Linked DNA regions of Rattus norvegicus. The protein of the gene in region 2 interacts with the protein of the main gene of each other region in a biochemical or structural test. Links are inferred from orthologs where the notes say so. Each region holds a gene or a part of one and is shown on either strand. Other genes may lie near its edges.

What was found.
Region 1: of the proteins of Atm (region 2) and Eif4ebp1, one has a biochemical effect on the other in vitro, tested with the Homo sapiens proteins (2 studies listed by BioGRID, with this or other methods). The link is inferred for Rattus norvegicus from reciprocal best matches to the Homo sapiens genes ATM and EIF4EBP1.
Region 3: of the proteins of Atm (region 2) and Rpa2, one has a biochemical effect on the other in vitro, tested with the Homo sapiens proteins (3 studies listed by BioGRID). The link is inferred for Rattus norvegicus from reciprocal best matches to the Homo sapiens genes ATM and RPA2.

What each region holds. Positions count from the first base shown.
Region 1 is NC_086034.1:71,494,837-71,498,871, forward strand, and holds the end of Eif4ebp1 (eukaryotic translation initiation factor 4E-binding protein 1), read right to left. Parts: intron 2,665-4,035; coding exon 2,485-2,664; intron 1,093-2,484; coding exon 1,061-1,092; 3' UTR 621-1,060; downstream 1-620. UniProt on the Homo sapiens protein: Repressor of translation initiation that regulates EIF4E activity by preventing its assembly into the eIF4F complex: hypophosphorylated form competes with EIF4G1/EIF4G3 and strongly binds to EIF4E, leading to repress translation.
Region 2 is NC_086026.1:62,752,100-62,755,745, reverse strand, and holds part of Atm (serine-protein kinase ATM), read left to right. Parts: intron 1-138; coding exon 139-227; intron 228-318; coding exon 319-421; intron 422-1,092; coding exon 1,093-1,241; intron 1,242-2,709; coding exon 2,710-2,814; intron 2,815-3,646.
Region 3 is NC_086023.1:150,259,451-150,263,584, reverse strand, and holds the start of Rpa2 (replication protein A 32 kDa subunit), read right to left. Parts: upstream 2,814-4,134; 5' UTR 2,729-2,813; coding exon 2,719-2,728; intron 2,522-2,718; coding exon 2,415-2,521; intron 2,323-2,414; coding exon of another isoform or gene 2,089-2,322; intron 800-2,088; coding exon 698-799; intron 1-697. UniProt on the Homo sapiens protein: As part of the heterotrimeric replication protein A complex (RPA/RP-A), binds and stabilizes single-stranded DNA intermediates that form during DNA replication or upon DNA stress.

The DNA.
Region 1 (4,035 bases), on a different chromosome or scaffold from region 2:
CAGTCTCAGTCTAGCAGTCAAGACTCAGAAAAATGGCTCTTTCTTTACCAACTGGTAAAGTCACGTTCATACACAGAAGTACCTGCTGTGCCCATAAAGGAGCCCGTGACATCCCACCCTTCCTCATCCCGGCTCCCCAAGACCATCTGATGTTTGTAACACTGGGTGTCTGCCTCCTCTCATTCCCAGCTACACCACGTCCTCCAAGCTCCACCCCCCCAACCCCCCACCCCCAACTCATCTGACATGGACCACTGATAACCAGTCCTATACAATCTACCTCATGCTACCTTTTTTAATGGGTACATGATACACCCCAGTAAAATCCTTACTCCTCTGCACCCACCATGGCAGCACACAGAGAGATGACGACAAAGACCGCATGCGCGCACGTGGACCAAAGGCTCTACACTGGCGCAGGCTCAGGGAAAAGGTGACCACCTCGCTGGACAAAGGTAATACTTGCAACTAAAAAAAGTAACAGAGCAGCAGACCTCAGCCGTAAAAATGACAGTAAGGCGTGCTCTGCTGACCCAGAGGGCTGGTATAACAATTGCATAAGACAATGTAAAGGAAAAATACACCATAACACTGAACACAGAGTAAACGGTGTCATCATATCAACTTGGAAACAGTTCAGACAGGGCCCGGCTGTGGGCCTAGGGTAAATGTGGCTTTTATTTCCTCTCAGGGAAAGAAGTAAAGGGTGGCTTTCCCAGGTACCCCAACCTAAGGTAAGGTGGGTGTGCTCCAGAGGTTGGGGCTAGAATTGCCAGATCATTCCGACAGACTCCTCTGTGTCCACTCGCTGGCGCTTGATGCAGGGAGGGTGTAGGTGAGAGTCATTACCCTGGAGTAGCAGCTCAGTATCAACAGAGGCACAAGGAGGTATGTGCTGGTATTCACAAAATGGAAGGCAGAGCAGGTGCCCTGAGTGAGGAGCAGGACTGGGTGGCCGATCCACACCCAGTGTCTGCCGGGTACAAGGCCTGACTGCTGTGGCTCTCCTCCCAAGGGCCCCAGGGGCCCAGAAGCATCACTGCGTCCTATGGCTGGTCCCTTAAATGTCCATCTCAAACTGTGACTCTTCACCTGCAGAGAGAGGAGACAGACAGCCAATAAACAAGTAGCAAACGGAAGCACTCCAGGCTTAGAGGCCAGAGAGAAGACGTCGTCTTTGTTAGTCTCATAGGTCAGGTGGAAGCGAGAGCTGCTGCCAAAGAGAAACAAGAGAAGTTGACTAGGCTAGGAGAGGAGCTTCCTCATAAGCGCGGCGGTGACAGTGCTGAATTTTCTATAAATCCGATTTTTAGTACGTGGCCTAAGGGGTGGAGCTTTGTGTCCTGTGTCCAGTTAAGGAAATTTAAAAGTACACCTACATCACCACCACTACCACCACCTAACTCTATAGAGGGCAACCAAGCCATTGTTCAGGGTTGAGAGGTAATATACCATCAGAAACTAGGAGTGGCAGGTGCAAGAGTAAATGGCAGTCTTCAGTTAACGGTGACAATTTCAGGTGTCGCCTAACTTCATCCTCTGTCATCTTTGGCTTGGGGTGAGAAGGTAAAGGTGAGAGGTTCTGTGCAATGACTGGGGAAATCACTCCACCCTTGAACATGTGGCAGGGACCCACACGTGTAGCCTGGTAACCACTTGTCATGCTGCTCTCCGCAGGCAGTCAAATCCACCTTCCTACTGCTATCTACTTCCCTCCACCCCCACCCCGCCCCAGTCCATCTCAGTCTAAATGTTGTCTGTCTTGGGCTGCTGGGCTGCCAGGGTAAATAGGAATCCTATCCTACAGAGCCATGGGGTGTCAGCAACTCCCTGTCTGAGCCTGCTGCTCTGCCTTTAGGGTAGGGAGTCAGAAGTGGTCCCGTGACTGCAGGGATGTGGACAAGCTTGCGAAACACGGTCCCACACCAGAGAGTTCACACTGACTGCCAGGGTGGCCGCTTTGATTGTTTTCGGGAGGAGGGGGGCACCAGGAAGGACCTAGATATAAATGTCAGCGCTTCTGTGACAATAGGAGGCATTGTCTGCCTGTCCTCATCAATAATCCACTTAATGACCAGTAACCCTGCCAGGAGGTACCTGGATTTACTTTTTATCTTGTAGACGTGTAATTTCCTAGAGGGGAAGTACGCCGTGTCTTTGATAAGCTGTCTCCTTGCATCAAGAGTATCACTGCTGTGTTCCACTAATATAGAGAGGCGGGATGATGAAAGGCGCTGGGTAAAGCCTACGTCACTTAAATCAGCTCCTTAATGACCTGACGCATAAGATCCTTGAGGGCTTTGGAGCTTTGTAGGGGGCAAGCTGGCACCAATAAGAGTTCCAGTTCCCATTCATCCCCCACCCTCTGGTCTCATCACAGCTGCCCCTCAAAGGGTGGATGGTCACCATCACCCTCACCCCGAAACGTGGAATTCCTAAGAACAGACAATCCCCCTCCCAGTTCAGGGCCTGGACAGGACTCACCACCTGCCCGCTTATCTTCCGGGCTGCTGTGCAGATGGCTCTGGCTGGCCTGCATGGGAGGCTCATCGCTGGTAGGGCTAGTGACCCCTGGAATGGTTGGCAGGTCCTTTGGGGGTGTTTTGGCCACAGGCGAGTTCCGACACTCCATCAGGAATTTCCGGTCATAGATGATTCTGGTTCCTGGTGAGAAAGGTGTGATAAGGGAGTTGGTAAGGACTCCTGGAACCCCTTTGCCTGTTGCTTTTCCCGCTTCCTGTGAAGAAGCAGTCACAGCAGAGGCGGCAGTTTCCTTCATACAATCTGGACCAAAAGGGGAGTCAGGCTGACCAAGGGTCCTGCCAACCTGACCACATCTCTGCTCCACTGCCTACCCTCCAACACCATTTGGGGAGCCTCTCCCCAGTAGAGTGCTTGCTGGCCACCAAGATGCATCTTTGTTTTCTCAGAGAACACCCTATGCTATATAGTCTCTCGACCTCCCACCCCTCAATCCTCCCTGTCAGTTACACATGACAAGCACAGCACACAGAAAAGGTGGTCACCCCTGTCAAGGCACCATTCCATCCCACAGGACTCCAGCAGGTCGATCATTTACAACAGAAAGACAATGGGTCCCTCCCTGCAGAGACTTTTCCCTGCCAGGTCTTTGCAGAAAGAGGAAACGCTCTATCCAATCCAGAAAGGACTTAGGCTGAGCCTTTCTCCAAACCTCAGTACATCGACCTGCCTGCATCACTCTTGAAGGGCAGGCAGGGACGCCAGTCCCATTCTACCCGACCTCCTATCACAAGTTAGTCTCATTCCCCGGGGTAGGGGTCAGTCTCAGTGCGCTGTTCTCTAGCGGTAAACCACACTCAGGATCCTCCGCCCAGGCAGCCGCCTGAACACCACCATATAAAGGAACGTTTCCCAAGGTGAGGGAGCACGATCACTGTGGGAGACCCGTGAGGTGTCGGTGAGTGGATGAACTTATCCACAGTCTCCCGGGGCCTCTAACACAGCAGCACTGGTGGTCTATTTTTAACCCTTCGACTTCCTGATCACTTTCTTCCCAGCACATCTCCAGCAGACAATGGTATCCAGCTGGAATTTAAAAACTGTCTTTGCCTTACTATTTATAGTTAGTTTACCCTCGGCCGATGACAAGTCTGCTTCCTCGTACGCAATGGCGGTAGCCAGCTTCCTTCTGGGACTACACACCATTAGTTACATATTATATAATGTTATATACCAGGCGTAAAGAAAATAAATTAAGGGCTGGCTAGGTGGCTCAGCTGGCAAAGGCACCTACCTGTCACCAAACCTGGTGTCCTGAGCCCAAAACCAGAAACCTGCACGCAGAAGAGAATCAATTCTCACAAGATGTCTTCTGACCTCCATATGCATGGTGTGGTGGTACGCAGGCACCCACGCCTATACCCATTCTTATTCATATTCTCTTCCTCTCTCTCTTCCTCTCTCTCTTCCTCTCTTCCTCTCTCTCTCTCTCTCTCTCACACACACACACACACACACACACACACACACACCTCCTTTCGTTCCCCCTCTCCC
Region 2 (3,646 bases):
GAATACCACTGTATTTTACTTTTTACAGCACATTTATTTGTTATAAGTTGTGAGTGATAATGATAAAATTTAAAGCTTACAAAACTCATGAACTGATTTTTATTTTCAAGTGTCCGCCTTTGGTATTTTTCTTTTCAGGATCTTCTCTTGGAGATCTACAGAAGTATAGGAGAGCCAGACAGCCTGTATGGCTGCGGGGGAGGGAAAGTGTTACAACCCCTTACCCGGTAAGTTGCACCTTTCAGATAGTGATTCTGCCTTTCGAAGGAGCTCCATGCGCACAGAAACAAAAGATGTTTTCACCGTCATCTCTTACAGAATAAGGACGTACGAGCATGAAGCAACGTGGGAGAAAGCCTTAGTGACATACGACCTTGAGACCACCATCTCCTCCTCCACCCGCCAGTCGGGAATCATCCAGGTACACTGCCATCCGTGCCTGCTTCCGTAAAGCTGTCGTCAGTGGAGTTAGGCTGTCAGACATTAGGCCAGCACCTCAGTACACATTGGAAAGCTGCACAGGTCACTGTAGTTTGTTGATAATACTTTTATTACCCAACAGCAGAAGACACTTCTGGAGTGTGTACAGTATGCCTGCCAGGAGACACTCGTAGTGCTTCACATGGCACTAGTTTGCTTTAGAGTTGGTCCAGGAAACTGTCCTATCTTTTACTATAATAGGCTTAGGTATCTTTCCACCAAACATTAACATTCTCTGAGGAGAAATATACACGCTAAGCAATATTTTAGAGTTTTAAGTGATACTGTTAATTAAAATTTTTGAAATTAAAATTTGGGGGTGGGGGCTGGGTTTCTCGCTAGTTCAATGGTTCTCAACCTGTGGTCGCGACCCCCTTTGTGGGCTGGCTGACCTTTTCACAGAAGTCACATGCAAGATATTTAAATTACGATTCATAACAGCAGCAAAATTGCAGTTATGAAGTAGCAGTGAAAATGACTTTATGGTTCGGGGTCACCATAGCATTAAGAATTGTACTAAAGGGTCTCAGGATTAGGAAAGGCTGAGACCACTGGTCTACTCTATCCTGACGTATTTGATCATGTATTCATTTTGTGATAACTTCCTTTCAGGCCTTGCAGAACTTGGGGCTCTCCCATATTCTTTCTATCTACTTGAAAGGATTGGACCATGAAAGGAGAGAGTGGTGTGGGGAACTGCAGGAGCTTCATTACCAGGCGGCGTGGAGGAACATGCAGTGGGACCTCTGCACTTCTGCCAAGTGAGAGCAAACCAGCCTCTCCCCACTGCTTCTATCTGACCCTGAAACTGTGCATTTGGTTGTTTTCTCTATGAGTGCTGCTGGCTTTTGTTTTTTAATATATTGTACAGACACTATGGGCCGCACATATGACTAAATATTTAGTATACAATAGGCAGCTAGCACAATGAAGGTTGAATTTCATTCTTATTTTTTTCCACCAGAGAAATTCTATCCCCTGCTTCAAGTGTTTTGTAGATAGAAATTTTTAAAAATGCCTTTTCCTGTGAAAATATTGATTGTTGAATTGAGGAATCTAAAGACAAGTGTAGGCCTTCTCCCTACCACTTCTTGCTACATTGTAGTCAAAAGCATTTCTATTGGCTGGGTGATAAAATCAGTTACCTTTGTTAATGTTTTGTGGTGGTGGTTGTCGTTGCTGCTGTTAAAAAGTAGTGCTAGGCCAGGAGCAGTGGTGCACTGGGAGTCACAGGCAGGTGGATCTCTGGTTCGATGCCAGCCATGACTACATAGTGAGTACTAAGCCAGCCAGGGCTACCACAAACAGATAACCAGGCAGTTTATAAAGTACTGCCAAACCAAGTTACCCAAGAAGATAAAAGTTGTAGCCTGTATTTCAAATCATTGTATTTTTTAAATGAAAACCAAAACACCTAGACTACTAAAGGATTTAATAGTTACATAAAAAAGTCTGATAGAATGCTAAAAAATTAAGTCATTTTAATTACTTTAATGGAAAAATGTTTTCATAAATTGGAGTGTTTATCAAATTTCATGTTAGGAGTGGTATAAAAAGCGGATTTATTCATATGTAGGTGAATTTTCTGTGTTTGTTTTGAGACAGTTTCTCTGTGTAACCCTGGCTGTCCCGGAATTCGCTCTGTAGACCAGAAGATCCTACTTCTGCCTCCTGAGTGCTGGCACCAAAGGCTCGCGCCACCACCACTCAACTGCTCTCATTTTAAATATTTATTTTAAATGTAAAATTGAGAACCAACTAGAATTTCTAAGTTTTTGGTTTTTTTTTTAAAGAATTTAAATGACCTGTAAAATGCTTTCCTCTTCTCACTGCCTTTTACTGCTTTGGCTTGTTTGTTTTTTTTCTCTTTGTTTATATATATATTTTTTTTTTTTGGTTCTTTTTTGCGGAGCTGAGGACCGAACCCAGGGCCTTGCGCTTCCTAGGCAAGCGCTCTACCACTGAGCTAAATCCCCAACCCCCTTTGTTTATATTTTGAGTTAGGATTTTACCATGTGACTGTGGCTGGCCTTGAGCTCACTAAGATCCACCTCTCTCTGCCTACCAATTAAAGGCATATGCCGCTGCACCAGCTACATATTTTTCTTAATCTCTGCAAACTTTTATGAGAAATCTTAATTTTAGTTCTCAACATTGTTCTTTGAGTTAGTTATAGATGCATATCTCAGAGTTTTCCATTTTTAAATTTGTTTTTTAATCATCTCGCAGCCAAGAACTAGAAGGAACCAGTTACCACGAATCGTTGTATAATGCTCTGCAGTGCCTAAGAAACAGAGAATTCTCCACATTTTATGACAGTCTCCGACATGCCAGGTATTATAAAAAAGACAGATTGTTTTTATATTTGATGCTGTGGCTGCTATCCTCAAAATGTGAGTAGATTTAAATAAGAATTTGCGTCAGTGAAGGGATAAGACTTGGTGGCTGAGTTCAAGCGTTTCTTTGTCGTTCTTTGCTCTCAAGAAAGATTTTCTTGAGGACCTACGTCAGTTCTTCAGTCTGCGCCCTCTGGAAAAGCATGATAGTATTCTCTTTTGTACACGTGTCCTGGAAGAGTTAACCTTTGTCCTTTCTAGTTTCATGGCCTTCACTCTCTTACCATCATAGCTCTGCTTTGTAAGCTTGGTTTCTCTGAGGCATACATGGTGTAGCAATTAGCTGTAACAAGTTAAACAAACATGAATTTTTTTTAAGGTTTATTTATTTTTATATGCAGTGCTGTTTTTGCCTACGTATACGTCTGTGATCCCTTGGGACTGAAGTTACAGATAGTTGTGAGCTGCCATGTAGGTGCTAGGAATTGAACCCTGGTTAAGAGCAGCCAGTGCGCCTAACCACTGAGCCATCTCTCTACCCCCAAACATGAATATTTTAAACACTCGCCACTGACATCATAAATCCTATACATGTTGTTTGGTTATTGTTTGGTTTTAGACCCCAGAACAGGGGACTGAGGTGCATATTTTACACATCAAAGCAGACGTGGCCTCCTTGTTCTCCCAGCATCCCTCAGTCCCTGCCTGGTATACCTTGCCCCCAATCCTGAACTTTCCAGTCTAGGGGCTGGGCTGCCCTTCCCCAGAGGGTCTTCCCTATGTAATCCGGACATTTTGGTCTTTTTCTTTTTTCCTCCTCTTCACTCTCT
Region 3 (4,134 bases), on a different chromosome or scaffold from region 2:
CCAACGGAAGAATGCCTTCATACACTTTTTTTTTAAAGAGACAGGGTTTCAATGTGTAGGCCTGGCTATCCTGGAACTATACAGATCAAGCTGGCCTGGAGCTCAGAGGTCCACTTGTCTCTGCCTCCCTAGGGATGGGATTAAAGGTGTGAGCCACCACTGCCCAGCTTTAAAAAATACTTTTCAGAAAATATTGTTATATTACCATTGTGCGTATGTGTGCCATGATCCAGAGGTCTGAGGATGTAGTTCTTTTTCCAGTGTAGAATGTGGAGACTGAACTCAGGTCATCAGGCTTGTGCAAAAGGCCCAAGCATTCATTTCTACCCATAGAGCACGTTACTAGCTATCTACTTTTCGATTAAGCAAGTCTTAATTCCTTTTCCTTGCGTGAATGCATATGAATGGTGTGCACAAATGAGCAGACAGATGTGCAATGAATGCCTCTGCAGAGGCCAGAGGACATTGGGCCACCGGGTCTAGCACTATTGATTTTATTCCCTTGAGACAGAGTCTCTCTCTGAACCTGGAGCCAGCAAGCCCCAAGGATCTTCCTGTCTCTGACCCTACAGTTTTGTAATCACTCCTGGCTTTGTACATGGACATGGATCTGAGGTCTAGTGCTCATGCTGGCCCCACCATCTTTCCACCCCTTATATCCTATTCCTGCACAGTCCTTCCACAAAATCTCACATACCTGTGAAATCTCGACATCCCCAATTTTGAACACCTCATCAGTCAGAGTAGCAGAGAGCAGCTGAGATATGGTACAGGGCACAATGTGCTGGGCTCGGGCTCTCTGCAAAGAGAAAGGACGCATCACGTCAACCTGAGAGAGTAACAACCATTCACCGAGGGTCTCCATGTGCCAAGCACTCTGTATATACCACAATCCAGAAACTTCAAACCAAGTTCTCCTTGCTTCAAAGAGACAGAAAACAAGGCCAGAAAGTTAACATTTGACTCCTCTGCCTCTCCCCTTAAGTGCTAGGGTTCACAGTGTTTGCTACACATGGCAAATGCCACACTTTTGAATTCACATCTACACTGATCTGATACTAGACCTCCAGGTGGAGAGATGTTTGTATCATATTGTGGGTTCACAAAGAAAAGGTCAGACTAGAGTCAGGACAACACAGGAAAGCCTGCCTTTAGAACAAACCTTCAAGAGCACATCCCAGGGCTAGACAGTGGTGGCCCATGGCTTTAATCTCAGCACCCAGGAGGCAGAGGCAGGTGGACCAAGGCCAGCTTGGTCGACAGAGTAAGTTCCAGGACAACCAGGGATAGACACACACGCACACACGCACCCCCCTCTGTCTTAGAGAAGTGAGGATAGCAAGAGCAAATCCCAGATACAGCAAGAGCAAAGTGTTCAGGACACCACAGAGGCAACAGGCAACCTGTGTAGTCCTTGACGTAATCCCTACAGTCAGGAGAGACAGGTAGTAGGGTCACCACAAATTAATGGTCTACACACAGCAGGTTCCAGGCAACACACAAATGGGTAGTAAAAACTTGTCTCAAAAACAAAACGAATGAAACGGCACAAAAGATAAGCCTTTAACTCAACACTATCTCTGCTTAAGCAGAGTACTAATGTAAACAAAAGACCACATCCTGATACATTATGGAAAGAAGCCCCTTATTTGGGATCTCAGAATGTTTACTGGTAATTTCAAACACCAGAACGTTTCCCAACTATCAGGGAAACTGAGGCAGAAAGGCAGGAGAATCACCTCAGCCCTATCAGCCTAGGCAACAGAGGTACATCCGATTCAAAAAAAAAAAAAAAAAAAAAAAAAAAAAAAAAAAAAAAAAAAAGGTAAAGAACAGTTAACCACAAGTTAAGGGCAATTACTCAGTAAGCCTTAGAGACTGCTTGCTCCCTACCCCTAACACTATGATGAGCCTGGTGGCCATACATCTTTAGTCCCAGCCCCAGAGGTAGAGAGGCAGGTGGATATCTGAGTTCCAGGCCAGCCAGAGCTACACTGTAAGCCTGTCTCAAACAAACATCCCCCAAACACTTGGTCATACAATGACTACGTTCTTCCTGTCAAATTCCAACAGGAATGAACCCCAAACCTGTTCTGAACACAGTGGACTCTTGTTCTTTAGGCTTTTTAGTAGTCCCAGCTGTGGATGGGCACCGCGACATTTAACTCTGCAAAAGCATACTTTCTGAGCGGTAGGGCAGGAAAGTGGAGGCCGGGCCAACCACAGCACGCTTGCCAAACACTTAGAGAAAACGGTTACCCAGTTGACCAGACAAGAGAAAAAGTAGGCAACCCACAGCTTCCGAACCAATTGGGGTGCCATCCTCCCCCGCAAAACCACGTTCCCTCCTGGACCAGTGAGGACCTTCGGGACAGGAGGACACAAATGAGAACAGAGCGGGTCACTCTACGTACTGATTTCTTCTCTGCCTGCGACGGTGTGGGTGACCCGAAGCCACCGGGGGACTGCGTGTAGCCGCCCGCTGCGCCATAGGAGGAGCTGCTGAAGCTTTCGAATCCGCCTGGTAGTGAACGACAGAGTCAGAATCTGCACGGCGCTCCCCAACTCTGTACCTGGCAAACGCTGTCCCCACCGCCCCAGCCACCACAACCCCCCTCCCAGCCCTCAAATGCCACCGCCCCGGCCTCCGGCCTCTCGCTCCCGCCCTGCCCTCCCACGCGCGACTCTCTGCCTTCTCTCCCGTATGCCCGCCATTACTATTCCACATCCTGGTCGCAGTTTTCCTGAGAAAGAGGCCAAGAAGTTTGGACTCGGAAAATAAGAAGACTTAAGAAGTGTTTGCCGCTCCGGCGTGGCGGCGTTGTAGCTACTTTGCACTGGCGCCACAAATTCCTTCCCGCGAAGAGCCAGCTAATCAGCGCCTGGGACACATCTACCTTTAGCCAATCAGAACTCACGAATCTCACTTTTTCCGGTATCAAGGCCAAGCTTAAGAAAAACACACGGCCCCAAGAAGAAATGGAAGCCCGCGCGGCCATCTTTACTGAGGGCGAATTCCTGACAGGACAGTATTCAAGAAAACAACCAATCAAAACAATACTTCCTGGGCCAACCAAAAGTTCTCCTCACCCCCCCATCCCCGGCGAGTGCGCAACTCCTTACGTCACTTCCGCCGCTCGCTAGCTAACCCCTCGCCCCCCATTCCCGCCAAACTGCGAGTTTGCCTTCAAAGCTGAATCTCAGGAGCTGTGGTAGAAGTCACACTTTCGACGTTGGTGCTCGGTTGTGGCATGCCATTTGCAAACTTAAGAGACTCAGTACTGGGGGCTGGAGAGATGGCTCAGCGGTTAAGAGCACTGACTGCTCTTCCAGAGGTCCTGAGTTCAATTCCCAGCAACCACATGGTGGCTCACAACCATCTGTAAGGAGATCTGATGCCCTCTTCTGGTGTGTCTGAGGACAGCGACAGTGAACTGTACATTAAATAAAGAGAGAGAGAGAGAGAGAGAGAGAGAGAGAGAGAGAGAGAGACTGACTCTGACTCAGTACTAGTCTCACAGGTCATCGTGGGATTACTTATTTTCTATAAGAAATTAAAATCTCCAAGTATAACGACTTACTCTCAGAACTCTGGCAGAAGCAGGAGGATCTCCATGAGTTCGAGGCCTCCTGGTCTGCATAGCAAATTCCAGGCTAGCCGGTGCTACATGATGAAACCCTGTCTTAAAAAATGAAATAGGGGCTGGAGAGATGGCTCAGCGGTTAAGAGCGCCCGACTACTCTTCCCGAGGACCTGAGTTCTATTCCCAGCAACCACATGGTGGCTCACAACCATCTGTAAAGAGATCCGATGCCCTATTCTGGTGTATCTGAAGACAGCTACAGTGTACTTATATATAATAAATGAATAAATCTTTTAAAAAATGAAATAAAAGAAATGAAATTTTTCCTGTAGAGTCACAGATCGTTTCCAAGATTGTTGCTCCTATAAGAAACCTCATGGAGGCCAGCAAGATGGCTCAGCAAGCCAGGTTACCTGAGGTTGACCCCAGAGACCTGCAGAGTATAAGGAGAGACTCAACTGTTAATCCCACTGAAGGAGTGTAAAGAGCGTTAGCTCTTTTTTTTTCTCTTGGTGAAATTAAACAAGCTTTATTTTGTTAGACATGGCTA